Styela clava: one gene and its partner. The protein of the gene in region 2 purifies or fractionates together with the protein of the main gene of each other region. This does not show direct contact. Links are inferred from orthologs where the notes say so. Each region holds a gene or a part of one and is shown on either strand. Other genes may lie near its edges.

Evidence for each region.
Region 1: the proteins of cdc42-interacting protein 4 homolog (region 2) and cell division control protein 42 homolog purify together in Drosophila melanogaster (affinity purification with western blotting; 4 studies listed by BioGRID). This does not show direct contact. The link is inferred for Styela clava from reciprocal best matches to the Drosophila melanogaster genes Cip4 and Cdc42.

The regions. Positions count from the first base shown.
Region 1 is NC_135256.1:6,368,426-6,384,916, reverse strand, and holds the start of cell division control protein 42 homolog, read right to left. Parts: upstream 4,120-16,491; 5' UTR 4,099-4,119; coding exon 3,994-4,098; intron 3,012-3,993; coding exon 2,939-3,011; intron 2,209-2,938; coding exon 2,099-2,208; intron 1,723-2,098; coding exon 1,525-1,722; intron 1,437-1,524; coding exon 1,344-1,436; 3' UTR 1,337-1,343; intron 115-1,336; coding exon of another isoform or gene 25-114; 3' UTR 1-24. Other genes in the region: something about silencing protein 10-like, read right to left, coding at 9,785-9,982, 10,220-10,274, 10,977-11,059, 11,246-11,449, 12,003-12,218, 13,016-13,162, 13,491-13,600, 14,475-14,549 and 1 more. UniProt on the Drosophila melanogaster protein: Regulates mbt kinase activity and is also required to recruit mbt to adherens junctions. Together with mbt and Frl, regulates photoreceptor cell morphogenesis. Together with Frl, has a role in the neuronal development of mushroom bodies.
Region 2 is NC_135254.1:6,314,632-6,331,502, reverse strand, and holds the start of cdc42-interacting protein 4 homolog, read right to left. Parts: upstream 6,527-16,871; 5' UTR 6,392-6,526; coding exon 6,368-6,391; intron 6,049-6,367; coding exon 5,882-6,048; intron 4,968-5,881; coding exon 4,820-4,967; intron 1-4,819. Other genes in the region: uncharacterized protein LOC120344092, read right to left, coding at 14,616-15,467, 15,965-15,985.

The DNA of each region.
Region 1 (16,491 bases), on a different chromosome or scaffold from region 2:
TTACGTAAGTGCGTGGCTTTGAAATCACAAAATATTACACTTCTTTCTTCTTTTGGGTTCAGGGGGTTCTAAAGCAGCCAGAATAGCCTCATCAAACACATTCTTCAGTCCTTTCTGTAACAAAATACACAGTGTCAGCGAGTTTGCCTTCTGCTTTAGGCGTACAATGGCATAAAAGAATCGTGATAACAGGGGTTAAGATGCACTTCTTTGTACAGCCTAGTTCCAGTGACATGTTAAGCTATACAGCATTTTGCTGAGTGTGGTATACATATTAGTTTGTCCTGTTTTTTTTTTTGACAAAATGAAACCTTGTCAGCTACAGTTTTATCTGGGCCATAGACTTTGTTGCTGGGCTTTTTATATAAAAAAGCTGTTCCGAAGTTTATCATCATGACGTTATTTTCATAAATTTTTCAGCGGAAATTCATATCCATAGAAACTATAGTCTTAATTTCAGCAGACACAAGCAGGCCAGGATTTGCCCACCCCTGCTCTAACCCACTGCTCAACTCTTTAAGTAAAAAAGCAAATACGCCTACAGGACATGCAGAGAAAAATAAAACAAAAAAATTACATGCTAAATGTTTTTGATTGGTTCATCGATACCAAACTCAAATTTCCCCCTTGTCAAGCAAATTTCAATCAGCATAAATCATGACCAGAAGGACAACTTTTATTAAAAAGTTCCTTAAATAAAGAAGAAATGAATAGACAATTATCGCATTACAATAGGATTTAAAATATTATTCTTTGTTGCATACAACCATTCCAATTGACGAGATTCTATCTTAGTTAGAGCTACCTAGAGAATCAAATGAAATAATTCTGTGCTATGCTATGTAAAAATACACAGGCTAAAGCGGTTTTAGAAAAGCGAGCTAATGCACATGCAGAAGCAATACACAGCGCCCAGTGTTTTTGAATCGGTTTTTATCATTTGGAGAGTAATAGCTCCCAACAAATTCATTGAGAGACTGTAGAACAAAAGGAATATGGCGTTTGAAGAAAATTCTAGTCTGATTTCAAGAAATCATAGGTCCACTTGCTTGATTATTATGATAAATCAAATTACAATTATTGATTATTAAATTAGATACAAAATTGCTCAATATACTATTATCGGAAATCTTCACAAGAAAATGAGATAAGTAAGCATATGCAAAGCAAATAAAAATAGCATTCAAACGAAATACAACATGAAAAGAAATATAGTTTCTGTCCTCTATAATCATCATTCAAGAAAATAGGGATAAATTTATGCACAAATACGTAGATAGAACTGAAATGGATGCGGAAATATTGATCAGGCAACCTTCATACCACAATTACGTACAAGATTGTTATAGCAATTCGCAATTTCCTCGTTTCTTCTTTTCAGATGGTGGTTCCAAAGCAGCCAAGATAGCCTCATCGAAAACATTTTTCAAGCCTTTCTGCATGTTGATTAGCACAATTTTTATATTTTGTGATAACGGGATATCAATTAAAGCTATGTAGTACCAAGACTTAATAGTTTCTTACCTGTGTTAAAGCAGAGCATTCAACATATTTTACAGCCTTTAATTCTCTAGCGAGTTTTTCTCCCATTTCATGAGCGATGGGTTTTTGCTTATTTTTGGATAATTTCTCGATTGTTCCAACATCGTCGCGCAAGTCAACTTGTGTACCGACAAGTAGGAATGGTGTTTTTGGACAGTGATGTGTTATTTCAGGAACCCACTATTGAACATAAAAAGTTAAAATTAGATTATTTCTATGATTTAAAAAGTCTGTAGGAGTTTCCAAATTGCTTAGCCCAATAAAAACATCAACTGTTGCTACCGGGATGGAATTTACTTGCTTATATCGTTGCCACTTATAATTTACTAATGTGCAATATAAGTATATAATTTTATCAGAGCAAATTCAGTCAAGACAAAACAGTAACCTTCACTTTCTAAAACATCCTCACATATTATCAACAAACCACAGCAGCACAAAAGCATAGACAAAATTTAACTATTGGTACGTAGTTCTGCAAATTGACAAAAAAGGGCACTGAAAAAATGCTGGATCTTTAAATCTAGTCTTTATGTATGATCAGGAGTACACATACCTTTTCTTTAATATTTTCAAATGAGGATGGGGCAACAACTGAAAAGCACACCAAGAATACATCAGTTTGAGGGTAACTGAGTGGCCTTAGTCTGTCATAATCTTCCTGACCTGTGAAAGAGAATATTGTGTTACAACACATAATGAAATATTTATAATATTCGTAAGCCGTCCTTCAATACATTTAAAAACTGGGTAAAATTAACATTACTTCCACAATATGTGAACTGAGATGGCGAACACCGGAACGTAGTATGTGTACCGACCAAGTTAGGGTTAGGCAATAATTTTATTCCAGTTTTCCCTATTTTAGTTTTTTTACGAGTTCGGGGACTAGCCAATTGACTCCCGTAGTATTTGTTACTACGGGAGTACCAAATTAACAGCATCTGTTTTGGTCAAAATTTGCTAGCTTGTTAGGAGAATAACTAATTTAACAATGGCTGACAATTTTTATTAGTCGATAATACTTTCACTATGCTGTGGTCTGTGGATAATGAGGCACATTCACAAGAATGTAGTGGGATGCTCAGTGTGTGGCAGCCAAACAATTTTTCCATCGCTCACCGAGTACATAGATTGATTAGGTAGGTATAGAACAGACAAGAACTGAGCTTGACACGGTTGATAAACTAGATAAGCCTAGGTAAACATATTTACAGAGGGAATGATAATTTGAGATTATTGGCACCCAACTCACTTATTTAAATTAGTGAGAAAATCATCAGTGGGCGGAAAAACAGTAAAAGAAAACGACTAGTCATTAACAAATGTTTAATTGACAGAATGCTTATCCGTCTATTTAATGAGAGTTTTTACTCATCTCAAATAAATATTTCACCTGCTGTATCAAATAATCCCAATGTATATGGTTCTCCACCAATCATTACAGTGACGGCATAATTATCAAAGACCTAAAAAAACAGATTATATTTAAATATTTTGTCTCTATGTAGATATTTACCAATCTACGACATAGTTCTCAGATTCCAAGAATAGCCCCCATTTCCTAAAGGAGTCTGGGTTGCCATAAAGGTAAAAATGGGCATACCGGCGCTGCGCAACAAGCTAAAAGAAAGCGCAATTTAAAAACTTCACTATTGGATTCCTCAAAAATAAAGTCAGATTTACCCACAGAAAAAAATTTCCCTGTAGCATTCGGGGTTTTTGGAAAAAAAAGGAAATTTTGGTCACATGACGGTGGACACATATTAGAGACGCACGTTTCAGAGTCAAATTGAGTGTTTTATTTTATTGGACCAAATTTCTGGATATCTTGGAATCGGAGAAACGTGTCCTACTTTTTGGTACACAATTGCAAATTATTTTCCCTGAACTTTCAAAGCATCAATTTTTCCAATAATATTTAATTCAAATGTGTTATTCATATATAATATCATTGAATAATGATGGCAAATCTGAATAGTTAGAAAGCAAGCCACTGCGGTTGCCAATTTACATGCAAATTTACGTAGCGTGCTGAATATATATAGTTTTAACTATAAATAGCCCGGTCCATCATGCGCCCTACCAGTAATAATCACAATGGGTCATTGAATACATCACTTAAGTTTTTTTTTTTTTGAAAGCACTATTCTCGTTTATACCAAATTCTTTGAATATTATGTTACAAACACTAAATATACAATTATGAAACAAACTGCAAATAAAGGCTTATTGTACATCCATGATATTTTTATGCTGTACCAAGAGAGCCATAAAACGACAGAAATTTCGTTGTCTGGAATAAAAATATGCCATGTAGGCACTTGTTTTAAGGATTAGAATATGTTGACAACCCCATTGTTTACTTGCATGAGCTCCCAGTTATTTTAGTCAATACCTGAAAAGAAAATAGATAATGATTCGCATGCATCAAAACAGAGAATAGCATACCGTTGGCACATATTCTGATGGAAATTTATTTGTTGTGTATGAAATAAGCAAACAGGTTTTACCAACAGCTCCATCTCCCACAACAACGCATTTGATGGTTTGCATATTTATTTTATTCAATTAACTCTATGGAAGAAAACAAAAATATTAGTTAGATAGATTGAACTTATGGGTTGTTAATTCAATTTACTATAGATTGTGTAACCTCTGGTTAGACTTTACGGGCCAAGCATAGCTGCACATTACTTTAGTTTCCACGAGTCTGAACCCGACACCTGTATATGGTTACCATTCTTTTTGGATTTTTTTCATCCCCTAATAAGCATGAGAACAACCTAAATCAGTGGTTCAGTAGATTTGATTTTGCCCGCATTATTTCAGATATTCACGTGCCAACCACATATTTTCAACATGTTTTTGAATAAAACATACTTTCGTCTTACTATCTGTTATTTGTAGCTTATTGTTAGTTACCGTAGCTACTTTTGAGGGGCGCAAGACTTGACAAATTCTAAAAAGGGGCGCGGCTTAAAAAGTTTGAGAATCACTGATCTAAATCAATAAATTTAAGTTTCATGACATGTTAGGTCGAGGAAAAATAAAACTAAAATATACTCCAACCAGTAAAGTCCTGATTTTAAAAGTACTTCAGTAAAACAATATCATCTACAAAATTTTCCATTTTTGACTATCAATAGTTAATAGTATCTATTTATTTCTGATTCCTATTGTTATAGTGTTAGTTCAGACAGTAATATAAGACATCATATGAAAGACTATGTGCCAGCTTGAGAGATGATTCATCCCCCCACATGAGATGACTCAGGGTATTGGTAGTCCAGAAATCACTGGGTCAACTAGTGTCAGCAGTCAGGCAGAAAGACAGATGTGCGAAACGTACCTATATACTTTTGCGAAACATTTAAATAAGTATTTATGATTCTGAAACATAGCCTGAATCGAGACATCTTTATAAATATGAATTTGAAAACATATTTGTCAATAGCCATGGAAACTGATTTTGAAATTCAGTAATATCTGGAACTACACTGTTTTGCTTGGTTTTCAAATTTGCATGCAGTGAAGTAAAAAATAATTATATATATATGGCTTGATTAGCTGGACAAGTGCTAATTTTGTTGCAAATTGCAATATGTATTAAAAACAGTGTATTATAAAAATTTACAATATTGAATACACACTTCAACTAATTTTAAGAGTATACAATTTCAATATCACTGGCTGGTTATGTAAGACTTAGGTCCTAAGTTCCAGTTGGCTCTTTTTGCCAGAAATATGTATATTTTAGTAATACGGTAAGTCAAAACAAGTTTACTTTTCTTAAACAATAAAATGAAAATCAATTGTACACAAATCATGAGAAAATGATAATTACAGTGGGGTGGGATGGGAAAATCACAGGGAACCAAAGCTGGTTAACAAGCAGCAACACTTATTATCTAGGACCTAGGTTCTAATCATGGCACCTTACATGCTTAAGAAACGTCAATGCTTTTTTTGGAATATCGTAGATGACTAAACAAGATTTTTTTATCGAGTTTTTGCCACTGAATCTGTAAAAATGCGCTGATTCAAAGAAGCATATTTGAAAGTCCAAGTCATATATATTGAAAGCAGTATTCACAAACAATACAGTTCAAAGTAATAACATTTTATGAGGTTTTATTGCCATGGTTCTAATTTGTGACAGTAATAAACAAATCATGATTGTATTCAAGCATTGATTTTATGGCGATTGTTAAATTTGTAATAAACATGTAATCAATAACAGCTATTGGGGTGTAATAACATAAAAATTTCCCACTAGCTTATGACAGTTACTTTTGTCTACCATCATCTGATCAAAGAAAATAATGCTTGTCGCTGAGGATTTATGCTATGGGTATTACTTATGGGTATTACTTACAATTTGGCGTGGCAAAAGAATTTATTCATTTTTTATTTTTTTAATTTGTTTGTATATTTTCCTTCCTTTTTACTTTTAAGTCTCGCTTTTTTCGCTTCCGACAGTATCATGTCTCGATGATTGTGTGTGTGTGTGTGCGTGCGTGCCTTCATTAGTTTTTTTTTACTTTTGGGTGAGCGAACACGTACTACTTCTTTTATCAATACCTTTCCATCTAAAATCTGTACGTTTCAAACCTTACTCTAGGTTTTGTTCGCTTTCCCGATTCTATAATCAGTTACTTTTACTTTTGTTTTTATCTATTTTTTTTATCGTCTATTGCTGATTATGGAGTCGAAATAAACTTATACTTATACTTAAAGACAAAAATTTGAACACAATTGACATTTGGACATATGTCAAAAATAAGATCTGAGTGCGTGTTCTTTATGTCACTCATATCCATGAATCTTGAAAAGTAGGAATCGCCAGTCTACTTACTGACCTAAGAAACTGAATGTAAAACCGTGTAACTGCAGAACTGTATACCCAGCTAAACACACAGCCTCTATTACACTATGTCTTTAATTTGAACATGAATAGTTACCATTACCCAATCTGACATAGGCCTATGACAGTACAATATTTGAATATACTGATATAATGTCTGAATGTGGCATCACAGTTTCACACAAAAGTTTAGAGTGGCATCACACTGAACAATTTTTTGTAATTATTGATTATCCTCATTTCATTCAACGTTCAACATATCTCTGTTCATCACATATTCTTTCGACCCTTTTCTTTTGATTATTAACCTAATTAACTTCCGGCCTAATTCCTTCCTTGAGTGATAAAATGTGTGTTACTTTCAGCTACCTTGTGCCTACCTATGTGACGACGCTGTTCGAGTAATATAGCGGAATACCTGGACTACGTCAAAATTCGAAATCCGACAATACTATTGTTTGAAACATCGTAACTAAGAAATAATTATCAATGGGTGTAATACTAAAAAACGTAATGGTGGTATCGCCAAGCACAGCAGGTCCGAAGAGCGAAACGTATCAACATAAAGATAAAAGCCAATTGAGGAAGCTAACAAAAGAGTGAGAATAGTTGCTGCGTCGTTTCTCTTTCTTTCTATCTTTCTTTCTCTTTCATCAATGGGCGGGCGAGGCGTTCCGGGTCTGACTGACGCTTTATCAGGGGCAGTATAAATACCGGCGTCGCCGTGAATGAACCTGTCAGAAATGGTTTCGTTACGTAGCTCTCTTGGTCGTGATTTGGCTTGCATGATGTCAGCGCTTGGCTACATCAGCGTACGGTTGTGTACGTTTATTGACGTATTATGTCACAACACGTTATGGATAATTGATGAGATTATACAATAAATTTGTACAATTACATCGACTATTATTTTTATTGTGAATACACCACTTGCCGTGTTAAACAGGCATTGATAACATAAACCATTTAATTTAACTGCGACTTCACCGAAGTCTCTATTATGTCAAGTTGGGTAACAAATCACACAACCTAATTGGCCGCCCATCGCTTCATTTATCGATTTTATCAGCAAGCTTATGTGTTCCAAGCCATCGTTCGCATAATATTGCAAACTGTAGTTTTTTTTTTTTATTTCTCTCGTACGATGTTTAAGAGCCGGATGTAAAACCTCCGTTTCGGCCTCGCACTGCTGGTGTAGTGGTATCATGCAAGATTCCCATTCTTGCGACCCGGGTTCGATTCCCGGGCAGTGCAAAGTTTTAATATTGCAAAAAGAAAAAATGAATGCAGACAGCGTTATCGACAATTTCTCAGGAAGTCAAAACATGCATTACGTCATAGACTTGTCAAACACGGAGATTGTCAATTGAACAAGTCTGTCTATGACAAAAACGTTTCAGTAATTGATACTTGAAAATGTTCATTGTCGTCACGCTTTTTCATTGCCAACAACATCAAAACTCATAGCTTATTCATTAACGTAGCACTCATCGACTGGACTACTTTGGATAGATTGTTCAAATTATTAATTGTATGGAAATGACACAAAAGGGAAATCCCGACATTAAGCAACAAATTACCAATGACAAATACGGCTGTTTCATGGAAGCTAGTTCCCTCGTTTATTTCCGTGACAATGACTAATCGGTAATTCGAATTCAAGCAGAAGCTCACTAGAACAACAAACGCACATAAATATTTAAATGACCAAACATTTCCGTAATTGGACTTCGTCTTTCTATTCTACCTGTATCAAAGTTAAGACTTTTATCACCACGAGTGCCTCAGCTAGATAACCAACATTGTTTTTTCGCGTCACCCTTCTCCGAGAAATGCCATTTTCATGTTTTTTTTCCTAGTTTTTGTTTGCATTAAGTGTATGTTCATTTTAGTGAATAATAAACTACTGAATGAACAAGGTCCTGTACAAGAATGCTATTATCTATAAGTAGACCTACCAGACGTCCCGGATTGGCCGGGACAGTCCCGGTTTAAACGTCTGTCCCGTCCCGGATAGCAAAATGTCCCGGTATTTTACTTTGGTGAAATTTTCAAAAAAATAACTCCCAACCTGATGCAAAATTATGAAATAATTCCGTCCCAAAAGGCATAACTTTGCTTTAACTCGAGGCTTATTTTAATATCTTAATTTTTTATCTTATTAGGTTGGATAAAATATCGCGCTTAGCTTGAGAAATCCTTTAGTTAGGGAATAATGAGTGACGTTTATTGCGTCATTATTCTATTGACTTTGATGATACTACAGCAATTGCTGCATTAGAAGCCATTTTAGGTATGCTTGGAGTTGGAGAACGCATAATAACTTTCATTTGATTTTGTTTGAGTCATATTATGCTGAGAGTAATCTAGAACTTGAGATTCTTTAGAATAATGCAATATCAAAGCTTATAAATATGTAATAAAAATTTGCCAAGCTCAGGCCTTCGGTCCATGTATTTCCGGGAGCCGTTTCCCGTCAGCAATTACATATCAACACGGTGAGTCCAAGTTTAGCATCTCTAGGTGATGTACAAATCGAGCTGGATTTTCATCGAATGTGTTGGAAGGACTATATCACCTTTTTTCTTCCACCCAAAGAATTTTAAACTGGCCTTTATTTTATATTAGGCGATTATGAATATTTGATCTGTGATAATTTGCACCACATAAAAAACAGATTTGACCAAATAGAGATCTTAAAGTTTTTATTTTAAATGAAAGACGACAGCGAGGGTGGTTTGACCAAACAACAGAAACAGATTAGTTTCTCACTTGTGATATTATACTAAAACTGTATCATATTTCAAACAATTCATTCATCGGGACATATTTTAACCATATCCCTCGATATGATTGCCTTCGAGGTATCTCTATAAGTTTGTTTGCCCAAAATTAGCAGCACATTCACATGGACATGGTACAGACACAGTTGTGCAACATGTGCAATGGATTTACTCCTCATGTGTTGCCTAATGTCAGAAGGAACAAAAATTAAATGATTGATCTGTATTTGTCCAGTTTGTAAAAATCAAATCACTGCACTCAGAGAACTTAGAAAACTTACAATGTTCACATTATCGACATTCGGTCACTGGTTTTTACAACTCCTATCTGTACCATATTATAAAGACTTCCCCACTAATCACCATAGAAAAAGTTTAACATTCTTGAGATTGCATACCAGATTTTGGCAACAAAAAGAAAAACAGAGCACGCAGATAAATCCAGTAATAACTCTCAAAGTCAATATGATCCACTCCACACTCCTGTAATGCTTCTGCCAGGAATCGCCACTAACACAATCAACTCACATCACTTCATCATTCGTTTGAGAAAGCTATTATGGAGATTCCATAAATTGGCCACAGTTTAGTCTTACTGCAGAGTTGTACTCTTCCTCAAACCTATTCTTATTCCTGAAGCTTCTCCAGAATATTTCTTTATCTCAGGCCTATATTCACGAACTTGTCCTCTTCTTCGTATCTTTGCTTTCCTGTATTTTTGTCTCATTTTGACACGAGGATTACGATCAATCTTCCGCCTTTTCTGACGAAGTCCTTTGTTCTTGGCAATCTGTTGACGAAAAAAGTTGTAAAAATGAGAAATGACAATGATTGACCAATTTGAAAATAACATAACTCGCTCGTGAAAACAAATCACAGCCATTGGAGGGTGCAAAGTCAAAAACAAAATAATAAAGATGACTTGGTAAAATGAATCACATAAATTATTGATCAGGCTTAACTAAAATTGTGATAAATCAATATGGAGTAGATCATTGTCTTTGTTGAAGAATACAAAATGTTTTACCTCATAATTTATTGCCCTTCGACCATTTGTTTCATCGTCATCATTGTCAGCAATTCTGTGAAAAAATAAATATTAATTAGAATTGCAGCGCAATAAAGTATATTTCAGTGGCATGCCTAAGGAAACTAATATAACCTTCAAATAAATAAAAATTTTCTCTATAAAATGTAATAAGAACTGCAATGAAGAATTGCTCGTTGCATGCCTGAAGAAACTAACATAATCTTCAGTTAAATCAGAATTTTCTCTGTAAAATGTAAAACTTTAACAGATGAAGAAACTAAAAATAGTAGTATTGAGTGACCTCTAATGCTCAACATTAAAATTAAAAATTCACAATATGCTTCATAACATATCATTTATAATTGAAGGAATTGGCCGATAACAACATAATGTATTTTTCAAGTGTATGTTTTAAAAAACACAGAATTCTAGTTCCGGCTGGTGATCCCTATTGAGTTTCAAATATTTAGGTTCCATTGGTCACCGGACTATTTTTATTCACAATGTTACTGTAGAATTTAAAGCAGTTCATCAATGCTAAACGCATATATATTACATACCTGGTACTCCCGTAGTGTGTGTACCAGCTTAGGGTTAGGCCTAATAATATTTCGATTTCCCTTATATTAGTTCTATTACGAGTTCGGGGACTGTCTGTGTTAGCCCCTGCCCATAGGTTTCAGTCCCTTTACACAACTTGATTAAAAATTAGTTACCTCAATAATGGTACACATACTTCTAAAGCGCCACTTACCTATCATCAGAATCATTTGATTCTTCCAGTTTTTCTAACATTGATTTGGAAAATTCTTGCACATCACATTCATCAGTATTTTCCTGAAAAATATGATGCATATATACCAGAATGAACAAAATAATGGAATGAGTTATTATTAATTTCACGACACGAAGAGAGATCATCCAGTAATAAAACAACATGAATTTCATGGGTAAATTTTGCTGACCAATCTGACCCATTTTGTGTATATACCTAACAAATGTTAAAATAAGTAGACAACAAACCTTGGGGTTCGACTTTCTTTTACGTTGTTTTTTAAATTCTACCACTTCATCAATTTTCTCAAAATCAGATGCTTCAGAACTAGACGCTAACTCTTCGCCATTTTTAAGCGAATCGTCTCCAAGGTTATTATTAAGGTTTTCTTTCAAGAGTTCATCTATTTCAGGGCGTAGTTTCTTTTCAATGGGGGACAATTGGTTGATGACCTGCAGAAAACATAAAACCATTCTTAATATGCATGGATATATTAATGACAACATAAGTTCCAAGGGTAAAGGTCTGAATCGTGATATGCCGTATTGCGCAATTCATAATTAAAGTGCAATATTAGGATAGGATTTTCATATTTTTCCCGGGGAAAAGGAAAGTGACCAGCAGCTACGTGAACGCTGTGGTGACAAAAAGTCCAATAATCCTCTTGTACATACATACCAGTATTTATTCCCCCACAGGATTCAAACCTGCAAACCTGTACAAGGTAATCATAGGTGTGACGACAATTCCTAACACTTAGAAAAATGCACCATACCTTAGCCAATATTAAAACAAAATTGCTGTCTAATTTGAGAATCAGTATTAGCTAAACTTCCATTGATTTAGATATTTCAGGATATCACAGACAAAATTATATCGTATATTGTGAACTATGTAGCTATGTATGAGACATAAAAACCCTTCGGTGTTCAAAGTAGGCAAATGGATAGCATGGTTTCTTTTGTTGGTCAGGCAAAAACAAGGATATCATCAAATAACACTCACTGTTCTGTATTGCACCAGTCTTGAAACAATTGGATGGTTCTGTACTTGAGTTTTGTTGGTTTTCAGAGCCAAATAAAATGATATGTTGAGTAGATATGCAGAATAGACTCTGTATTTGAGACTTATGTAATCAGATCCAAGACCCTTCGGTATCGTCCCATTTTTCACAAGTTTCATCAGCGGTGAAACTTCATTCTGTAGCTCAGATAATTTGGTCTGGAATGAATAATTTTTTACTATTATTATAGGATTCTGATATATTTATATTATTAACACCACTGCTATCAACCTAACAGAACTCTGTACAGACATTTTCATACACTTGTCACCTCAAACTAGGCTCTGTGTAGTCTAAACAGTGGCTGCAGCACATTAGTGTTGCACTGAATGAATATTGGTGTGCCGGCAGGTGCGGCGAAGAGATTTCATTGTTGAACTTATTTCAAGTGATTCCAATTTCCAATAGACAGTTAAAAGTTAGCATATCGACTTACAGACGTGCATTTTAATTTGAAACTTGTAAAGAAGATGAGAGGAAACCAGCTGTAGCTGCTCAGGTATTTAGTCATACTGTGACCCAAGCACTGAAAACGCTTCTTCACCTCGGGTGATGCCGTAAACATTCTATGCAACTGTTCATTTACATTCTTACTTTATTATTTTATAGCAAAATGGCTCAATGGGTATAAAATGTTCATGTTTTGTGATAGGCGTGCCACGAATATTTAAAGAGCCTAATAGTTTGTCGCAATATAAAAAAGATTGGGAATCACAGCACTGAGTCTTTTTGATTTGGCATTGCTACCCAATTTGGGCAAGGTAGTGGACATGGTATATAAAATGATATCTTTTAACCTGTGATGCCAACATGATCCAATGCTCATCAGGCAGAGTCACTTTGATAAAACCCTGAGTTTTGAATGAGAAACTGAATTTGTATTCAGAATGAATATTTCCTCAACACAATCAGTGCGAGGCGAATATATTTGAATAAAATTACAGAAGGCAAAAACCTTAAAGTCATGAATCAATCCATCAAGTTCCGGTGATTCTTTCTTCACAAGTTTCCATTGTGATTTCTTGGATAACGAACTAAAATCTGCGTCAACATGAGCCTTTAGAACTTCATCAGATTGCTCTTCTGTTTTAGTTTCCGGAACCTGCGGAAACAATTAAAAAAATATTAACACAGCAAAAGATGGACATCATCTGCTAGATGAAAGAAGCAAAGATAATTTGGATAATAACCTCATTCAGAGTACTTGATTCTCACAACAGCAAGATTACTGAAACCCCATAACGATGCTGAATCCTCCCATTTCCCATTGTTCAATATAGCATAAAATTTTAATATAGATATAAAAATTTGTGAATATGCTTTTGATTTAGCAAATTATTGGATTCTAAAAATCTAAAAAGATCAAAAAATTCGTGAATATGCTTTTGGTTTGGCAAATTATTGGCCCCAAGTTTCCAATCATAACTCACATTCAATATATCCAATCCAAAATCATCCTCATCCATCTGTTCTGCCAATCTTTTCTGAATAGAAAGAACTTCTTCTTCTTCTGCTTTTTCAGCTTCTTCTCTATCAGAACCTTCAAGAAGAATACTTGATTAATATTCAGGGTTGTCCTAAGATGAATAATTTAGCATTCAAATAGGCCTGCTACACAGCAGTGGTTTTCAACCAGGGTTCAACTACACACTAGGGCTCCGCCAATACAGTCTGCCAAAACTTGCTAAACTTTGAAGATAATTTTGTTTTGCTAGTATTAGATTTGCTTTTATATATATTTATAGTTTAAACAATTCTTCTTACAGCAAATAGAAATATTTTACCATTATATCATACCAGGGGTTCCCAAAGCCTTTGGAATGTTGCATTGAGATTCTGCTCCACCAAAATAGTGGAAACTACTGCTCTACAGCAATAAAGTAATTTAAATTATCTGAATTTTCAGGTATATCTTTTACAAATAGCATTAATATTTTTATAAATAAAATTTTTAGTGCATTCTTAACGATAGTCAAAAAAGTAGGGACCGGCCAATATATCATCTGTTATTCACAAATTTCGAATTATCAGTATCGGCTAATTTTACCGATGTATATCGGTCGATCACGTGACTGCCAAATGTCAAATTTACGACGGGAAAGCAGTTTTAACTAACTAATTTTAACACTAATAATTTTTAACATAAGGCGATGAAATCGCTAAAATTAGATTCACAAAGAAAGGAGTAAATGTACTTTTTATGCAATTTTTTGTCATCATTGCATAAGTTCAACATTTTGTTATAGATTTCATTTCTTTTGCAAGAAAAACACAAAAATCTGTTCTGAGTGTTGCCTGTTACTTGTAGCCATCTCTTTAGGTGAGGAAACATCAGTATCGGCCTAGTTTTAGAAAACTAACCAGACAATGACATACGGTAACCATTTTACCACAATTATAAAAAAAAACATTACCTTCCAGGCCATCATATGTGTCTGCACCATAAAATGATGATTTTCTCTTTCCCCAAGCACTTTCACTTGTGATACCTGAAATGAGAAAAAAAATAAGGAAACTACTAGTGATTGTAAACTCATTCATGAAAATATAATATCCTATTAATGCAGGAGATATTTGTAATTCAATATTTTTAAATGCTCAGAGCTACTAAAATCAACATGCATTCAGTGCGCTTGATTGGTAATAAAATTTGCAAATCGTCTTTTTTTAAACAGTGGGCCAAATCTCTTCATAAAATGCAAATACAAGATTCTGATATTTCAAATCCAAGATTCGGATTAATAAAAGAGAAAGATTTAAATTTTTCAATCTCTTTAAGATGTTTTGTCTTTGTGATGAACCTAACACAGAAATGAACAAGTTTGTAAACTAGGCTCCAAACTCTATTTACAGTCTTAAGCAGAGTACAATGACAGGCGCTCCAGAAGTGTGTGTACCAATATGGAGGTAACTAATTTTGTTCGTCTACTTTACATCAAGTTGTGTAAAGGAACTGAAACCTATGGGCAGTGGGTATATTCACTTGGCTAACAAAAACAGTCCCGAACTCGTAATAGAACTAAAATAAGGAAAATCGAAATAAAATTATGGCCTAACCCTAACCTGGTACACATACTCAAACATCAACTGAGTGTCTTGAAGCAACAGAAACTGAAGAATGACTTTTAAATCCAAACACTATGCTGAACCTTCCTAACCCGCACTCCCTAGTCAAATTTTTAAAATATTTTTAATTAGCATTTGTCACCTAACCAATATGGCTTGGAAGGCAATTGAAGGCTTGTTTGAATCATATTATTGTTTTCTATACGCAAGAGGTCGCTAATGGACCGCTCCATGTACGAAATTTTGCGTACGTGAGAAAATTCATCGACGATAGTATACAAACATTCGAACCTCTCTCCTTTATGGCCGTTGAACCTTACTTATGATAACGGCACTCTCTCGCAAGCGTTATAGCCGTTTTGGTGTTTGTTTTCCTAACAAAATGATATCACAGGCAATGGTGTAGCGCAAACAGCTGTCGAGTAACAAAGCGGTATATTTGTGAAGTCAACGCAGTTCTTGTTTGTTTATTATTGTGCGGGTAATTATTAGTGCGTGTTTACGCGAGGAAAATGAGCGCACGGCCGCGCGAATTACTTTCTTTCAAGTAATAACGTATTCCTTTGTATGTTCCTTAGCTTTCAAATATTTACAGATATAAAACTCGTAAAATTGGAAATATGCCAAAAAGGAGTGACGCACAACCCGGGGCAAAAACACTCGGACAAGCCTATATCATGCTTGAAAAAGGCGCGAAAATGTCTTATTGGTTTTGTTTTGAGTTAAGTCCATAATAAGACGTGTACATAAAGAATGTTAACTCTTACTGACAAATCATATTAGAGCCATATTCATATTACACATAAGTCTCATATCGTTTTAGCAGGGTTAAAGGACAGTCCCCAACTCGAAATAGAACTGCATACTGGTACACATACTACTGCAGTACCAAATGTTGTGACTGTATTACTAGATTTTAGGCTCAAATCATCTTCACCTTTATTTCCAATTTCACCATCATCAGATTCATCTTCTTCATCAATGTCATCATCATCATCATCATCACTTTCTATTCCAAGAACTTCTTCCTATAAACAAATTTTTCATCTAAAATCAACCTATGAAAAAAGAAGTCTATTGCCAACTACAAACTACAACTATTGTTAAGTATTGTTATGTCTGTCTATATTAACATTAACAATAAGACGAAAAAAATACTAAAACTAAGGCAGTATTTTTATTTATTTTTCAAGCCCACTTTAACGAAGACAAAGAAATCGATGATCTACTCCACAAGGGAAAAAAAGTCAATCTGACAATCTATGACGAGTACATAACAGCAGTACTTAAACTTTTTCATCATGAAATTTGGGTGATTAGATTTACATTTATTTCAGTGCACAAAACAACCTTTTTGTGATTCAC
Region 2 (16,871 bases):
GAATCATGCTGCGATTGATCAAGACAACATAAGTAATAAACAATATCATAAACAGAAAATGGTTAAAACCGTGCCCAAATCACCAGAATGCTATCAATACAAATTCAGTTTGTTCGGGAAATTCATTATCTTATCTCGCTTATATTTATTTTCTTATCAGAGATTACATGATAATGTAAGATGAAACTGTATTACAAGCCAATATAGATCTAACATTTCTAGATATGATTTCTTATATTTGGTAAATAAGGTACAAGAAAGTGATGAGCTTGCCTAATAATATAACAAACCTCTCGTCCAGTTACCAGTCAAATATAGATTACGAAAACAGTTCATAAATTGTAAAATTTTTATATTATTTTAATGATTTTACTTAACGCTTGCTTGCATAATGCGAATAAAAATCAGTGATTTAATTATTTCAATCGAAACAGGAAGAGCAAATCATTAAAAAAATATATTTGAAAGGAAAATGTTTCAGACAATTGAGTAGTAATATATGCTATCATTGGATTACCACGGGTACGAGTAAACAAGATCTGAATCTGTGGTTATGAATAACAAAAAGAAAACAAATATTCTTGACTTCTGCACAGAAAGATATTTGCGGTAACAGCAATGCTATTGAATCCTTTTATTAGAAGGCTTTAGAAATACAGAAATCACCACAGACAACAAAATTATTAACAATTATTAGTGAACATAAATTAATCAAAAAACGCAATCTGAAGTATTACTGCCCTATTTATAAAACTTGACAATTCAGTTGACCAGTTTACTGAAATAGAATTAAAAGTATGTCGGCCAACAAGCTGAATGAAAACTAGAAATATAAACAATACAATATTAGAGGAAGTAGATTCGGTTGCACAACGAAAATTATGAATGACAGCTCTCAGTTTTTTAAAATCTTTTTCGAAAGTTTGAAATAGAAAACCATCATTATCGAACATATCTTTCAGTCCAGTACATGATTGTCAATGTATTTTAATTTACTAATAGGAAACAATGATTTTTTAGAAAATTTGTATATTTTAAATTATTGTATTTTCTTGTGAAAATCACCATTTTTTGCAGTGAAAAGGTAATTTATTAGGTCCCATTGAACTGATTAAATTTACAGATCTTTTTCGGTTATCCCGCCTATTAATATATGAATACTCAGTTAGGGTTTGATTGAGGAATGCAAATCGTTCCTAACGCAAAGTGTGTCAGCCTGCAAGCTGCATGAAAACAAGAAATATAATACACAAGGAAATATTAGAGAAAGTGAATTTCCTAGTAAAATTCAACAGTACTGTTGTCATCTATCAGTTGCTCTATGAATTCTTCAAAAATTTAGTTCAGCAAAATTTAAAATTATTGTTTTTTCTCGTTTTTCCTCATTCCTCACTTTTTTGTGGTAAAAAGGTGATTTATTAAGTCATACTGAACTGAATAAATTTATGTTATGGACTCTTGATGCAATGATTTTGATGCAAAATTTGTTCAAAACTCTATTTCAACAATGTCTCATATTATATCTTGAAACAATTGGTCCACTGGTTGAAAAAAAAGCAAGTTTTGGTCCTGACATTGCCAAGAACACCATTCAATGTTCTAAAAGAAACGTATCGTGGCTGCCAGATTTAAACATATTTCTATCTTTTTATCTGGCAACAAGGGTAATGCAATCTAACATATATTTATTTGAGGACAATCCAAAACATATCTTATTTCATGGAGAATAAACTACATAGATATGCGATCAGGTTTATTACCTGCATCACACACCCGCACCAAAAATATTAAATAATTTACAAGATTTGATATTTTAAGAACTAACATGTCGCCAGAGAATAATTTTCAATGAACACCCTACCACTATGTGCCATTGTTTTCGGGCCATTCCAACATAAAGGTCCTATTTCATGAAGAGGAAGCTAAATACGGCATCCGGTTCCAGTATACACATGGCGCTGATGATTATTTTTCAGCATACGTAAACGAACTTGGATGCTACAGACATCAATAAAATGTATTTGTACCAAATGTATTTTCTTATACATGTAACGAACTAGAATATCATGGGTGATGATTTGTAAAAGAATTCAATTTTCATACTGGAAGATCTACCCCTAGGTGTCATGTTGTTTCGGATCATTCCAACATAAAGATCCACATTTCATGAAGAGGAAACTAAATACGTAACCAGGTGTCAGAATATAAATGACGCTGATAATTTTTATTCAATGTACGTAAACGCAACTTAGACGTTACGTAGAGCGAGACTGATATTATTATTCACACTGAAGCCTCATTGTATGATCATACTTCCTGCCACAACACCAGGCCACACTTGATTGGTAAAATAAAAATCATTTTTCATATCGGAAAGTGGGAAGTCGCAACTACTACTGATAGAGATGAGTCAGCAAGTAAACAATATTGTTTTGTTTTTCGATGTATTAGAATGTTGCAATATTAATATACTATACTATATTATTTCCAACCTAGGTTTGCTGAGTTTCGAATAGAGAATGATCTTATACTAAAATGATATTGACTTTTACCAATATATCTATTCTTATTGTGGAACTACTTCAAAGAAAATTAAAATTATTGCTAGGCAAAGAGATTTTTTTTAGAAATTTACCATTTTTGCGGTGAAGTCATGATTCAGTAACCCATTGCGCCGAATGAAATTTATCGCATTGATGTGTCTTGTGCCAAGATTTTAAATCAGGTTTATCAAAAAATGTGTTCATGGCCTTATTTCTAGCAAGTTCCATAATATGGATCCTAAAACAATTAATCTGATAGATAAATAGAAAATTAAGTGTGTAAACTACCCATGAATATTCATATAAATTGCGGACAGTACCAAAATTCAAATACACATACTCGGAGTATTCCCCACAACCATTTTCTACATTATGCAATATAGCATTTCTTTCCTGTAAGCATTGTGTAATAAAATAGAATGAAACTAGAACTATGTCAAGACATGTTGAGTCATGACTTTCCCTAGAGAATTGCTGAGTAAAATCGAATGTCAAACACTCTTGTTAACTCCTGTTAACGATACAGTATTAAACACTCTTTTATAAAGATTGCGCATAGGTTGGTATGCTGGTGTAACGATGCTCCAGAAGTATGTGTAAGTAAGTAATGAAGTAACATGGAGGCAACTACTTTTGTTCGCCTCCTTTACATCAAGTTGTGTAAAGATACGGAAGCCTGTGGGCTTGTGGAACTAAAATAAGGAAAATCGGAATAAAACTATGGCCTAACCCTAACCTGGTACACACACAACTGGAGTACCGGTCTAACTATGTTAGTGACCTTGAAGTAGGCTACTGTTAAATTTATTGGTTTTCAAATCCTGTGACCACAAGATGTAAAGTTAGGTAGATAATGGCGAATCGAAAAGATTTTGGTCTATATGAAATTCCTTAGCTATTCGTTATTCAAGCATCAAAAAGGTCCAGGGTGTGACAAACTTTAAGAGTACTTCTTTAGCCTGAAGACTACCTCTCGTCAGACCCCAGGTGTAGGCTACATATGGAGGTAGATCTCTCGCTCAAATAGCATCGATTTAGGAGTAGTCAGAGAGACTAAGAGTTATGGAAGATTTATTTACACATTTACATGAGAAAAATCCATCTCAATTTGCTTAATTAATAAAAGCAATATACCTCTTCCATCAAAAATCATTTTCCCTCATCAAGCTATGACTGGTATTTCCCCCATACCGATATTGATTAGCAATTCATGATAAAAATACTTCAATCAAAAATTTATCAATAATTAAGCAATAGAGTATTGATCACAAAATTCCTTTGATGAGTCTACTTAATAAGCTTTGTTTAATAAAAAATTTATGAATGAGCTTCATAAATCGCTTCATGCTTACATTTACCAAGTACATTATTTCAACTGACAAGTATTTTCACATCTTCGCTTTGAGTAACAATGTAGACATACAATCACTGTATTGTGTTATTACTATGTATTTTGAAAAGAATCAATTTTTTCCCGTCTAACTTTAGCTTATTAATAAATTTATACAAAACTGGTGAGATTTTGGGCATGAGATTTGAACCAAATAGCTTTGACATGTTATGCCAGTGTTTCATACAGGATGACCATAAACATAATCATACAAAATCTTTCCAAATCTTCATAACTTGATTTATTCACCTACGATATTGTATCCTCACAAATAAGCAGAGTTTAAAAATAATTTATAACAAAAATTAGTTGTGTCAAAAAGTATGTGTCGTGTTAATAATAAGTGTTACGATTTGTAGGGTTGGCTTATATGCAAATTTTCATAAATTCACCGTTTTAGGGCCGTTCTTTTGGGGTCGGCTTATATTTGAGGATATAATGTAATAACCTACACTTACTGTCTAAACTTCCAACCATGAAACCAATTCATTCATATGACCAGAACAAGCACATACGCAAAATATTTTAGTTCGGAAAAAAATAAACCGAATCTTTTTGAATCTGCATGGCCAACTCAATTTAAAAATATTAGATGGAATATATATAGGATGTCCATAAAGTCCTAGAATTTTTTAAATTCCAAAAGGAATTTTTCAATCCTATATATTGTTTTGGCCCTCACAGATGTATTAAATAAAATAAATTAAAACTTGAACAATTACTGACTAAAAAACAACAAACCTGGTTAAGATATATTGAGAACTGATTCGATAACAAAATTGAAATTGTAAAGAGACTTTATGGACACCCTGTACTTACAATCTGTGTGTATAAGACATAGCAAGTGATATAGAATTCTCACTGTAATAATTGAACAATGAAATACCTTCTTTTTCTCGAGTCTGAGTTCGTTGATGAATGCGTGTAAATTCTTAACGATTGACTTCAGAAGACTTTCGGCAACAATCTCATGTTGTCCTGCTATATCATTCAATTCTGCAAGCTGACTTGCAAAAGCTTTATTTGTTGAAAATCTGAGAAAATACAAATTTGATGATTTGAACAGGAAATCTGATATTGATATTCTGCTGATTATGCTGCCCGGATTGTTGGAGATTCAAATACCACCATAGAAAAAGAAGAGTGGATGGAAAATGGAAAGATTACAATCCATCCTAACTACAGAACGACACACTATAGAAATCGGGTGGCATTGTCCCGTTTCAGAGAAACCCATTTTACAGATGATCAGACATCCCTCCTTTGGGAGACGTCTGGACATTGTTGTCCCTCAATATCGATAATAATACAGTATAATGAAGTTGCGCAAAATACTACAAAAAAGCGCAATCTAGTAACGTCATCATTGAATTCCTTGGGAAAAAATGATCATATTTACTAAAGGAAAATTTTTTTTATCGTAGTATTCGAAAGTTTTTAGCAAAAAACAGCAATTTTGGTCATGTGACGGCTGCGATTAATTTAGATTATTATTGAGACAAGCATGGCGCGATATGAGGCATCTGACGTGGTCCCAGACGCCCCTCGTTTGTGAGACACATCGAGTGTTTGTTTTATTAAACAAAATGAAGGAAAATACTTGGAATTTGGATAGTGTGCTGTACTGAACTATAGTAACCTCAGTGGCTGCCTGTGCAGAACTTTGTATGGAGCAAATTTTTTATAACAACTATTGGGCATATCCAAGTAGCCTCTTACACAGAGCTTGGTCTGAGAGAATACGTAAATCTCCAAAAGTAGCTTCTTACAAAAAGCCTTGAGTACTCCCGAAGTATTCTAGCCTTGTCCTGAGAGGATACGTGAACCTCCAAAGAAGCTTCTCACACAAATGCTTATTCTGAGAAAACACGTAAACCTCTAATAGTAGTTTCTTATACAGAGTTTGGTCTGAGAAGATACGCAAACCTTCAAAAAATGATTCACTTACATTGATGCATCGTCGTCTTTCTTTTTAGGCGAATATTTTTTTGCAAGTCTTCGAAGTTGTTTTGCGTAATCCTGTTCCACGGAGCTTCTTTCTTGCACAAATTTCATGTATTTATCCGTATATTCTATTCCATGGTGCAAATGTTTGTCCACATTTTCAAATTGATCCTGGGAAATTGTAGATTTGTTTTTGGAGTTGTTTTGATGCAGGACTGCTTTTGGAAAATCCTAGCATAACACCCGCTAGCTGTGGTCTAACTTGACTATTATAAATTTCAAACAAGCCCACTGCCTCACCCAAGTGTAGTCACGACTTTGACAGGCAATGTTAACTACTAATAGTCCAGTGTTCTTGAAAATTAGTACCATACACATCAGTGGCTTAGAAAAGCCTTGTTTAAAATGAAGTAAGAAGTTTGGAATTCGGGACTTTAGCCCAACACAAGACTGCATTCAACATTAAACAAAGTCTCACGTCTGTACTTACCCAGAGTTCAACGCCCCAATCCATAATGTAGTTAAGTGATTTCAAGACTTTCTATGACTTAGTATTACTCTCTGAAACGACAAAATACTGAAACCGTTTTATATTTTACAATACCGGTAATTTGATAAACCTAAACAAACATTATTTTAAACTGTATATTTCCAATCTTTCAAAATAGATTCAAATTTGTTGAATGTGTAAAACAGCGCTGGGCAAATTTGCCTCGACTTCACTTTTAATGCATAAAACAAAAGTGCTCATGAACTTATTATCATCTGCGCACAGATATCGTAACAATGTCTGTTGTATGGCATTTGTTTTGTAGTAATTAGCCCAACATGTATACCGTTAGTTGTGTTGGAAACAGGAATAGAAATAGCAGGTGCTTCAATCTTATGAAATTAATGGGGCCTGCACGCTATCGTCCATATTTGGCCCAGGAGTACATTAAGTTTGTCGACGACTAGTATAAAACACGAGTCTGAAAATAGTTTTATTCATAACCGAAACAAAAATTGCTTAGATATTGATCAGTCAAAAATACTTGAACAGTCAAAAATAAAACGTGTATTGGCTGTGCATTTACTGATATCATAAAATTATAATGGCAGAATGGGCTGTGTTACTCTGAACATGTCTTTCAAAAAGAACTGTCAAACTCGGTTGGTGCTGTTACCGATATAGGAAAGGATTTACATATTTATCCCGAGAAAGAGGAAAGTCGATAAGATGGCTTAACCATATGGCGAACCACGGCCTCTCGTCTGGATATATTCCGTTACTTTGTTAGAGAAATATATATAGGTAAAAAAATATATAAATCCACATGTATTTGTTTAGTTTTAAACAACTTCCAAAGAACTGGAAAACTCTTAACTCAAACTGTCATATTCAACCTGGTCATCTGAAAAGTCTGTTATGACTGTATGAAACAACAGGTTGGAAAAACCTACGCAACTACAAACAGTTTTATTTGTTTTTCAACTACTGTAATTTATATCTTGTTGTTTGGTTCGCACTGTCGCAGGCTCATCTCACAGTCTACGGTACTCCGTTTACAACACATCCAAGCATTTCCTATTCATGGACTTTTTAATGTTTCACAATTCTGCAGTTCACTGCCAATTTCCAATCTTAGCTGCCATGGTGCAGGTGCAGTGGTGTGACTGCATGATTGTGGCACTATTTTTTCTATATTAGGAATTTAAAAACAATAAAACTGTCAACCTTTTATACTCAGTATACTTAAGACTACAGCTTTCAATACAAAATATACAAGTGCAATCTCAAACTAGCCAACAAAACCAGGCCTAATTCATGTTATTGTCTGATATTTTTTGGCAGCATGTAGGATTTAGGGTCTTATGTTATACTGTTATATTATTCTTACTGTGTGAGAACTTGACTGCGGTTCACGTCCATATAACTGTATAAATAGTTAGAATATCTATAACTAAACTAGAAAAATGAAACAAATTGCAAATGCCTACATTCAGACATTGCTGTGCAGAGGTGGCCAACCTAACTAACGACTGCTGGACTGCGATGGACTAAAATCGTCAAAATAGCTGTGATCGACTGATCTGTAATAAGGTCATACATGTACGGTATTGGTACACGAATACGGTACCGTAGGTACTGAATTTGTTAATTTGATGATATAATTCAACCCGAAGTAAATTTTCATTATTAAGTTAAGATTTATTCGAATCATACATTTCACATCTAAGGCCTAATAATCATCAGGCTTGCCCACAACCGGCGCTGCATGAACCTGGTTCGCGTTAATTTTTAATTTTTTTGTGTTATTAAATTCACTCAACATCAGACGCGATCGACTATTCGAGACATGGCGATCGACCTGTTGGCCACAGTTCATAAATCTCGCTAGGCATACGCTGGATTGCGGATGTGGGCCCACCTTTACTTGTGAAACTATGCTCTCGCGATGAGATTCGGCCCTTTACCTCCTCTAGTCTAACGCAGTGATTTTCAACCGGTGTTCCGCGAGAGACCTCCAGGTGTTACGCGAAAAAATTGCTTTTTTGAAGTATTATGACGTAATTCGAATAATATAAATAGCGTCGATTTGAAAATGGCGAGTCAGAGTTTTGAGAAGTTGGTATAAAATACTTGTAACCAGATGAGAAATGACAGGCCATATTTTCTTTTAATGAACTTTATCTCGGCGTATATTTTTTGTGATCCACTCCATTCTTGACCAAATAATATTCCAAAAATGTGAACCTTAGGATAGGAAAGGATAGGATTTACATATTTATCCCGGGGGAGAGGAAAGCCGATAGGACGGCTTATCCATATGGCGAACCACGGCCTCTCGTCCGGTTACCATTCCAAGTCGGGTATGGGATTAGTTATATATTGTTTGTTTCCGGAAGCATGGACTTGGTGGTGGAGGAAGCCGTAACCGACTAGCGGTTACGTGAACCACCCAACGACGGCGAGGAGTCCAGCAATCCTCTCGCACATAACCATCCCTGCATGGGATTCGAACCTGCGAACCCACGCAGAGTAATTAGAGGTGCGGTGGCGAGCGTATTCCTAACGCTTAGCCCGTTGAGCCACACCGCCGCGCCTTATACTCGACTATAAATTAGGCCGCGAGCCGAGGCCCTGAAAAATGCCTAGAGTTTCGTAGCGCACATCAGGTAACTACCAGAAAATGATTTTAAAATGTTCCTTAAAAATTTAGTAACAAATATTGCCTTGTTCCCACTTCCAAAAGTTGCACGTTTTACGGAAAAGACGCTTTTACTACAAGAAATATGTGCTACGATCTGTCCAATATTCTCTACATTTTCGGCAATGAACAATGACTTCTGCATGACGTAACAATTGAATCAGCTGTTAGCGAGCGGATGAATATTAGTTATTATTGCTCGACCTTGCGTTGAGTTGGGCAGCCTTTCCATAGCCCTGTTTAGTTATTATTAGTTAAGTTATGCTAAGACGTTGTTGAAAATGTATAAGTAAGTTAGTAAACACTTGTAGATCCTTACCACGGATATGGGCCGTAAGACGAAGCCTTGAAAACGCCCAGAAAATGAGTTTCGTAGCGCACATCTGATAACTAAATAAATTCTTCAGTTTTGTGTGAAAATGAACATACTGAACGCATTACAGCTTGTTCCACAATTCTGATGCGAAATTGAATATAAGTGGTTCCCGGAAATTCAATAACCATAGGTTTACAACACATACATAAGAACTATCCAATTCGAGAGCCCTACAGCACACTAACACAAATGTATTCCTGTAATGTTTTGCCTGACCAAAATCGGACTTCCTCAGTCAATCATAATTTATTAGGTGGATTACGAAAAATATGGCATACATGTAACCAACAACAAAAAATACTTTAATTGTGTGACAGGAGTCGCGAGTGACCTCGAAGCAGCGACACCAACAACGCTGATTCACATTAGCGAATAAATTTTATGTAATAACCACAAGCAGTTTACAACAAGAACAGCATAAAAAGCTACATCCATTTTATTGAAGCTATCAAACGTATTTATTTTTAAGCAATGAAGTCACAAATTAACATCGTGAGCACGAAAACACAAATAAATCAGTTATTTCTTACTTAGAAATTTACCGAAAAAGTCAAGAAAATTAAATGAATGTACATAACATAGTGAACAGAAATATTACAATTAGTCTTTTTTTAGTTTATGTGGCTATGTATTTGACCAAAGGCAATATTATTTCTAGAAACAGGACTACGACACTAACAGATGTCCGAAAAAACAAACGAACAAATGATACTTATTAAATCAACTGCAATATCTAATTCACTTTCTTCTGAATTGTTTTCGAAATCCACTATCTCGAAAATCGACATTTTCTCTATAAGTGTACTGTGATTTTTGCAGTCAATACAAAAACAAAAATCGGTGCAATTTAAGTTGATTTTGGCACGCTTGCATAAATTATTTTGACTATTTTTCTTACATTTGCAGTTTGCCAACTCAAGAACTGATTTGAGGGCCACATGCTCCTTCAGTGAATCATTGAATCAGTGAATCAATCTTATGTTTGCCAGTGTTAAATAGACGTGCCCTGGTATCATTTACATTCTTCATATCCTCTTCATACAGTGAACAAACAAATTCCTTAGCTTTATTTATTAATGCCTCGTTAACCTCAAAAAATTTTCATAGTGGAGAAAAAAATGAATTGAAAACCTCAATGAAGTCTCCAACATGAGTTTAATGAGCAGTTCCAATTGCAGAAAAATACAGAAAAAAGTATTTCAATATGAATCCATCCAAGCCCATCTGTTTGCAATACCGGAAAAACAGAGAAAATCAGAAAAAGCAGAGAAAATAGGACAGATGGTAACACTTATTTATTGTAATAAAAGCGTCTTATCTGTAAAACGTGTAACTTTTGGAAGTGGGAACAAGGCAATATTTGTTACTAAATTTCTAAGGAACATTTTAAAATCATTTTCAGGTAGTTACCTTATGTGCGCTACCAAACGGAAAGATAAATGACCTCGGCCTAAATGGAGTCATGAAGTCGGAGGAGATTACATTCGTTGCATTTTGAAGCTTTTCTTGTAGTAAATATTAGGGCGTGGCATCATCAAAATCGTCACGTGAAGTGTTGAATTCGCAAATTCCGTAAATAAAATTGTGAATTTGTAGGTAACGAATTTAGCGATGATAATGGTCGCGGTAATGTTTTGTTAAAAAAGAAAACGTTAAAACTTGAGGTGATTACCGTATTTGCTCGTTTATAGCCCGGGCGCTTATTTTTTTAAACATACTCACTAACCGGGCCCTTATTCAAACCGGCCCTTATTCAAGCAGGGGCGCTTGTTAATTTTAAAGTAAAATTACACACAAAAATACCGGTAGATAAGATCGATCGTTACAATAATTAATACCGTATATTGTCATTTCCAGTTCTCAAGTATGATTTAAACGAGATTAATGAAAATTTTGACTTTTTCTACGCACCGCGGGTACAAATCGGCCAAAAAAAAAAACTTTTACACCGGGCGGGTATTCAAGCACCGGCCCTTATATTTATTTTCATATCCTGTTCACACGGGCGGCTATTCAAACGGGCCCTTAATCAAGACCGGGCGTTAAAACGAGCATTTACGGTAATTCTAATCAGCGTCTTCCCTCTATTAGGCACAAAAGCAATTGGGCACAAAATTGTTTACAATTTTTTGGCATCAGGTCGCGTATGTAAAACATCGTTCAAGAAGTGATCTTTATCGTCATTTTGCCTAATGACCACGTAGATTTCAGCTTTTAAATCAACATTCAAGATTCACGCAATCACAGATTTATCTAATCACAGTATCTAATTGATTTATTTCGGAAATAACACTGACACCAATGTGGAGCATAAGAAACTCAATTATCGTCTTATTATATGTGTGCTCGATAATGATAATATTATTCGCTTAAAACTGGGACGTTTAATTTGCAAACGGCGATAAGTTAGATCAAAGCCGGGGTAAACGATGAAAATCAGAATAAAATTAAGTTGGAATTTAAAATCGCTTCCTCATGTCATTAACATCTGTCGCCGATGTGAACGCATATAGTTATAACAAAATATGAAACTTAGATCTCCGCCGATCGGCGAGAATTAATCTTGCGCATAAGAACAAAGGCGGTAATATGAAAACGTTCAGGGGGCAAAAAAAGTAGCGATTATGACAAAATTAAACAGTAAAAATTGCTTTGATGCCAATTTTCGATGTTTCTATTAATTTCCAAATTGACCTCCGACCTTCTGGACTCCTGTTGCGCATAAAAAAAACGCAAGAAATTGAGAGCCGTTGAGAAAGAGCTGCGTGTCCTCAATTACAGCCAGAATAAAATATTTAAAACTCATCAAAAACCTCATCAGACCCAAATATCACATTAAAATACAATTTCTGTTTCTAGCTAATCATAGTATATATTCATAAGCAAACTCGCAAAAACATTCATTTGTACCGTACTTTAGATCTTGTAGCTCTGAATCGGAATGTATCACGTCTTTTCCAGCTAAAGTTGACAAGCTATAATATTAGTTTTGTTATTTTATTTTCATGCCAAAATGATCGATGTCAGTTAATTGCATAATATAGTTTATTTCCAAAAATCTCGTTTGGTGTTCCGCCACAACTTTAGATTAAAAAAAGTGTTCTGCGATACAAAAAAAGGTTGAAAATCACTGCTCTATTGAATCGGGTGTCTGTGGGATGTTTCCCAGGGCATCGATTTCCTTGTTTATTTCCATAACCATAACTAATCAGGAATAAGTTAACAATGACGAAACGACTGCAATTTATGAAGCCCATCAGACCCATCATATAATCAAGAATGGTTGCAAACCTTGCCTCGATTTTGTGGTTTTGCATGATATTTGTCAGTTTCAGTTGCATTTCTGAAAAAAAGTGGTAAAAAAAATAAATAGCTAAATCAGTGTTTCTCAAACTGCGTACCGCGTGAGATGCTCAGGTGTACCGCAGAGCTTTAGGGAATTTTAGAAAACAAGCTTTTCGTATTACACATAGGCACGCATGAATGAATAACTAATCAGGAAAAAGTTAACCATGACGAAACGACTGCAATTCATGCAGCCAATCAGACTCATAATCAAGGATGGTTGCAAACGTTGCCTCGTTGTGGTTTTGCATGATATTTGTCAGTTTCGGTTGCATTTCTGAAAAAAAGTTGTAAATCAAATAAATAGCTAAATCAGTGTTTCTCAAACTGCGTGCCGCGTGAGATGCTCAGGTGTACCGCAGAGCTTTAGGGAATTTTAGAAAACAAGCTTTTCGTAATACACATAGGCACGCATGCAACGGGCGAGCTTGCGAGAGTTCAGTGCGCGCTATTCATTATAAATATTATTGCGTTGTCGTTGTAGTAAGTGTGATTGTCACGTTATAATTGTATTGTTATAATGTATTTGTAAACGAGGCTTCCACCTCCATCATGTTGACTTTCGCGCTTATTTAGGTTAACAGAAAAGCGAATTCGGACGAGTTTTGGCTATCTGCTTACAAATTCAACTCATTTATCGGTGGAAAATCCATCAAAATAATCTAACCATTTGTGTATTCATGGCTCTGTGAACACGGATTTTCTGCTATGACTGAAATTGAAAGCAAAAAAGGGAGCGGCGGAACCTCGTTTCAATTGTTTCTCTAAACAGGTACACATATCGCGTTAACATTTGCAGAATTAATTTGTTCAATGCAACTATATTTCATTTTACAAATGTGCCGCAATTTTTTTTTATTTGCTTAGTGCTCCGAGAGAAGGAAAAGTTTGAGAAACACTGAACTAAACTATCAATATTGAATGTGCTTATGTGTGTTTTACTACTGTGTCAAAAGTTAGTTGCTGAAGTTGATTGACAACACAATCAAACAAGCAGAAATAGGACCTGTAGAATTTAACTCTACTGGTAGGATTAGGATAATTCATAATGCAAGTTTTGAAGTAGCGATAAATACCCTGTCAAACTTTAGGCAATGTTGCGATGAGTATCTTGTGAACTGCTGAACAATAATAATAGATATAAATTGGACCTTCCGGTCGCAGAATTTTTATCTCCACGAGATAGACATACGTAAATCCATGCATTTGAAATCAAGAGTTGGTTAGCTGGTACTGGGATCACCGGGATTGGTAACTAGGCGGGAAATGTTGATTTAGCTAATTAGCAAAAGTTAGCCTTATTATATTGTATATTAGCGGCAATGAGGCATTATTATCCATGTAGGCTATCTTGGTATTGCCATGACTTATTTAAAAGGGCGACCACGCCACATCGTTTAACCAAATATTCCACAATTAGTCAGGATTCCGAAGAACGACCGACAGGCCAATTTTGAAAGAGCCTTGATAGAGTAGAGTCCAAACTAATGTTTGAAGTTCGAAACGAAATTTTGAAGACAATCGTTTATTTATTAACATAATGAAAAGACATTTTGTACAAACAAAAATATAAAATAGAGTAAAAAATACCATTTCATATTTGAGGAGGGGCTAAAAAAAACAATAATAATTTGAGCGGAGACACTGGTAATTTATGCATAACAGTAATAAATACAAAATTGGGAGAAAAAAATCAAGCGCTTTGATCAAATAAGTATCCACGCATGTCTCGAAGGTCTGATATAAAACAAAAACGACACAAAGTGAGATAACCATGCAAACGAAAGTGGTCTGAGACTTACACAACATAAATGCACTTATAACACTCATAAGTGAGTTTCTGAATCTGCATGTTTGGCAAAGCACGATGACAACTTGTGTATTTTTACACTTTTTTTCCACCCATAAGTTTTACCGCATAAATCGCAAGAGTATGGTTTTTCACCAGTGTGTACAACGCTGTGTTGTCGCAGTTCATTTTTCTTTGCATACTTGGCACCGCATATTTCACAGGCGAAGGGTCTCTCTTTGACAAGATTTTGTCCCGCGTGTGTTTGCATATGTTTGTTCAAGGATACTTTATAACCGAAGCATTTGCCACAGACTTCGCATGTATAAGGTTTTACCCCGGTGTGCACAACTCTGTGATTATTCAAAACTAATTCAAACACAAAGGTTTTTCCACAAACTTCGCAGGTAAATGGCCTTGGCTTGTTATTGTCTGCTTTTTTTATTGTTCCTGGTTCCGCGTGTTTTTTGGCGTAATGCTTCTTTATATTAGACTTTTCCGCGAAGCGTTTTCCACAGACATCACAGGAATATTTTCTCTCTCTCATATGTACCATTGATATATGTCTGGTCAAATGACCATTTTGAGTGAACGTCTTGTTACAAATTTCACATTCGAATGGCCTTTCTTCTTTGTGAAGCCGTGTGTGTAACCTGAGTGCGTTTGATGTGCTTAATACTTTCCCACATTCTTGGCAAACATGGCGTTTGCATTCAGTGTGCTTTCCACGTTTCCCCTTTTTCACTCCATCTTCATTCTTTGAATTAAATGTTTCGCGTTTGCTCGGCTCATCTTGGCCGATCTGCATATTTTTGGAAATGCGGAAATTCAGTGGTAATGTCGAAGCAGAAATTGTATTATATATCGGAAATAGAAAAGATTGCGGTTTCTGAAAAAGGAGCAGGTTTTGAAAATCATAATATGTTAAAAAATATATACTATGACATCGAAATTTTTACGCAATTGTACGCGAATTTGGGGTATTAGCAATAGGAACTGATTTTAGTATCGCCTGTTTAATCTAGTCAGACTGAAATAAAACAATCTACAAGTTGTTACCACGTATGCACAATCATATTATAGCGAGTTACGTCTTAAACATTATTCACACCAACTAGTTTGAAACTAATACCAAAACTGAGTGGTTGGTTATTCAAATCACCGAAGGGCTACAAGTGAAGATAGACTCGGGAGTACGGTGTACGGGAGACTCGGTGTATATAGCGTGACAAAAATTGATCTACTCTCCTGATAAAATATGATCGATGCATTTTTTCTCAAATTGTAACGGAGCCAGAATCAAGCTCGTTGTTGATTACCAACCTCCCGTGACTTGACTAAACTCCTAAAACAATTGAAAAAGCGACCAATTCTATAATTCCTTACCATTGCGAGACAAATAAACATACATGTCGGAATATTCGCTACTTTTGAATGATCTCGGTTTTTTATCGTGTTTAAAGTTGATTCAACTCTCCATTTACCGAGGCGCTATACTCTTCTAATTATATAACAATACAACTATTATTAATCGTATCGTATTAACGCGTATATAATAATAACTACTATTATTATTAATATACGCACTAGCCATTAATATATACAATCATATATATTAACGTTTAGAAGACAAAACGAGTCAAACGACACAAAGAAAAATAAGGATCGACGAAATTGATTATAAACATCTTACGATTTATATAAAAATTGGAACTACTGTTATATCTCTGTAATTATATTGTATATCATAGTAAATACGTAATCCGCAGAATATCCCCAAGCCACATCGCCGCTGCACAGAGTCACGTAATTCGAATCCCAGCCCACCACCATAATAGAGAAATATTGATTTATTTTCCGAATATATAAAAAAAAATGTAAAACTACAATGAATGACAAAAAAAAAATTATAGAATATAATCGGGAGGGGGCGGGCAAGACTGCAAGGTCAACTATGTCGACCGACCCCTAATAGGATACTTTTAAAATGTCTAATATACCGTATATTGACCAATGTCTATCAATTGGTCTCCATTTCAAATTTGTGTATTTTATGAAGTATCAGAGTAAACTATCTATCTAAATAACATAATCTCTTACCACGACATATCAAGTATATTTGTGAGCTCTCTTTGTTTAGATCATGCACAAACTTCTTCATACAAAACAAGATATGGCTTACTAAGAATCATTCTAACGAAAGCTCACAAATATACTTTATATTCCGTGGAGAGATTATGTTATTCCTATTTATCTTTATATTACTATATCGTTCAAACATCCTTGTGGCAAC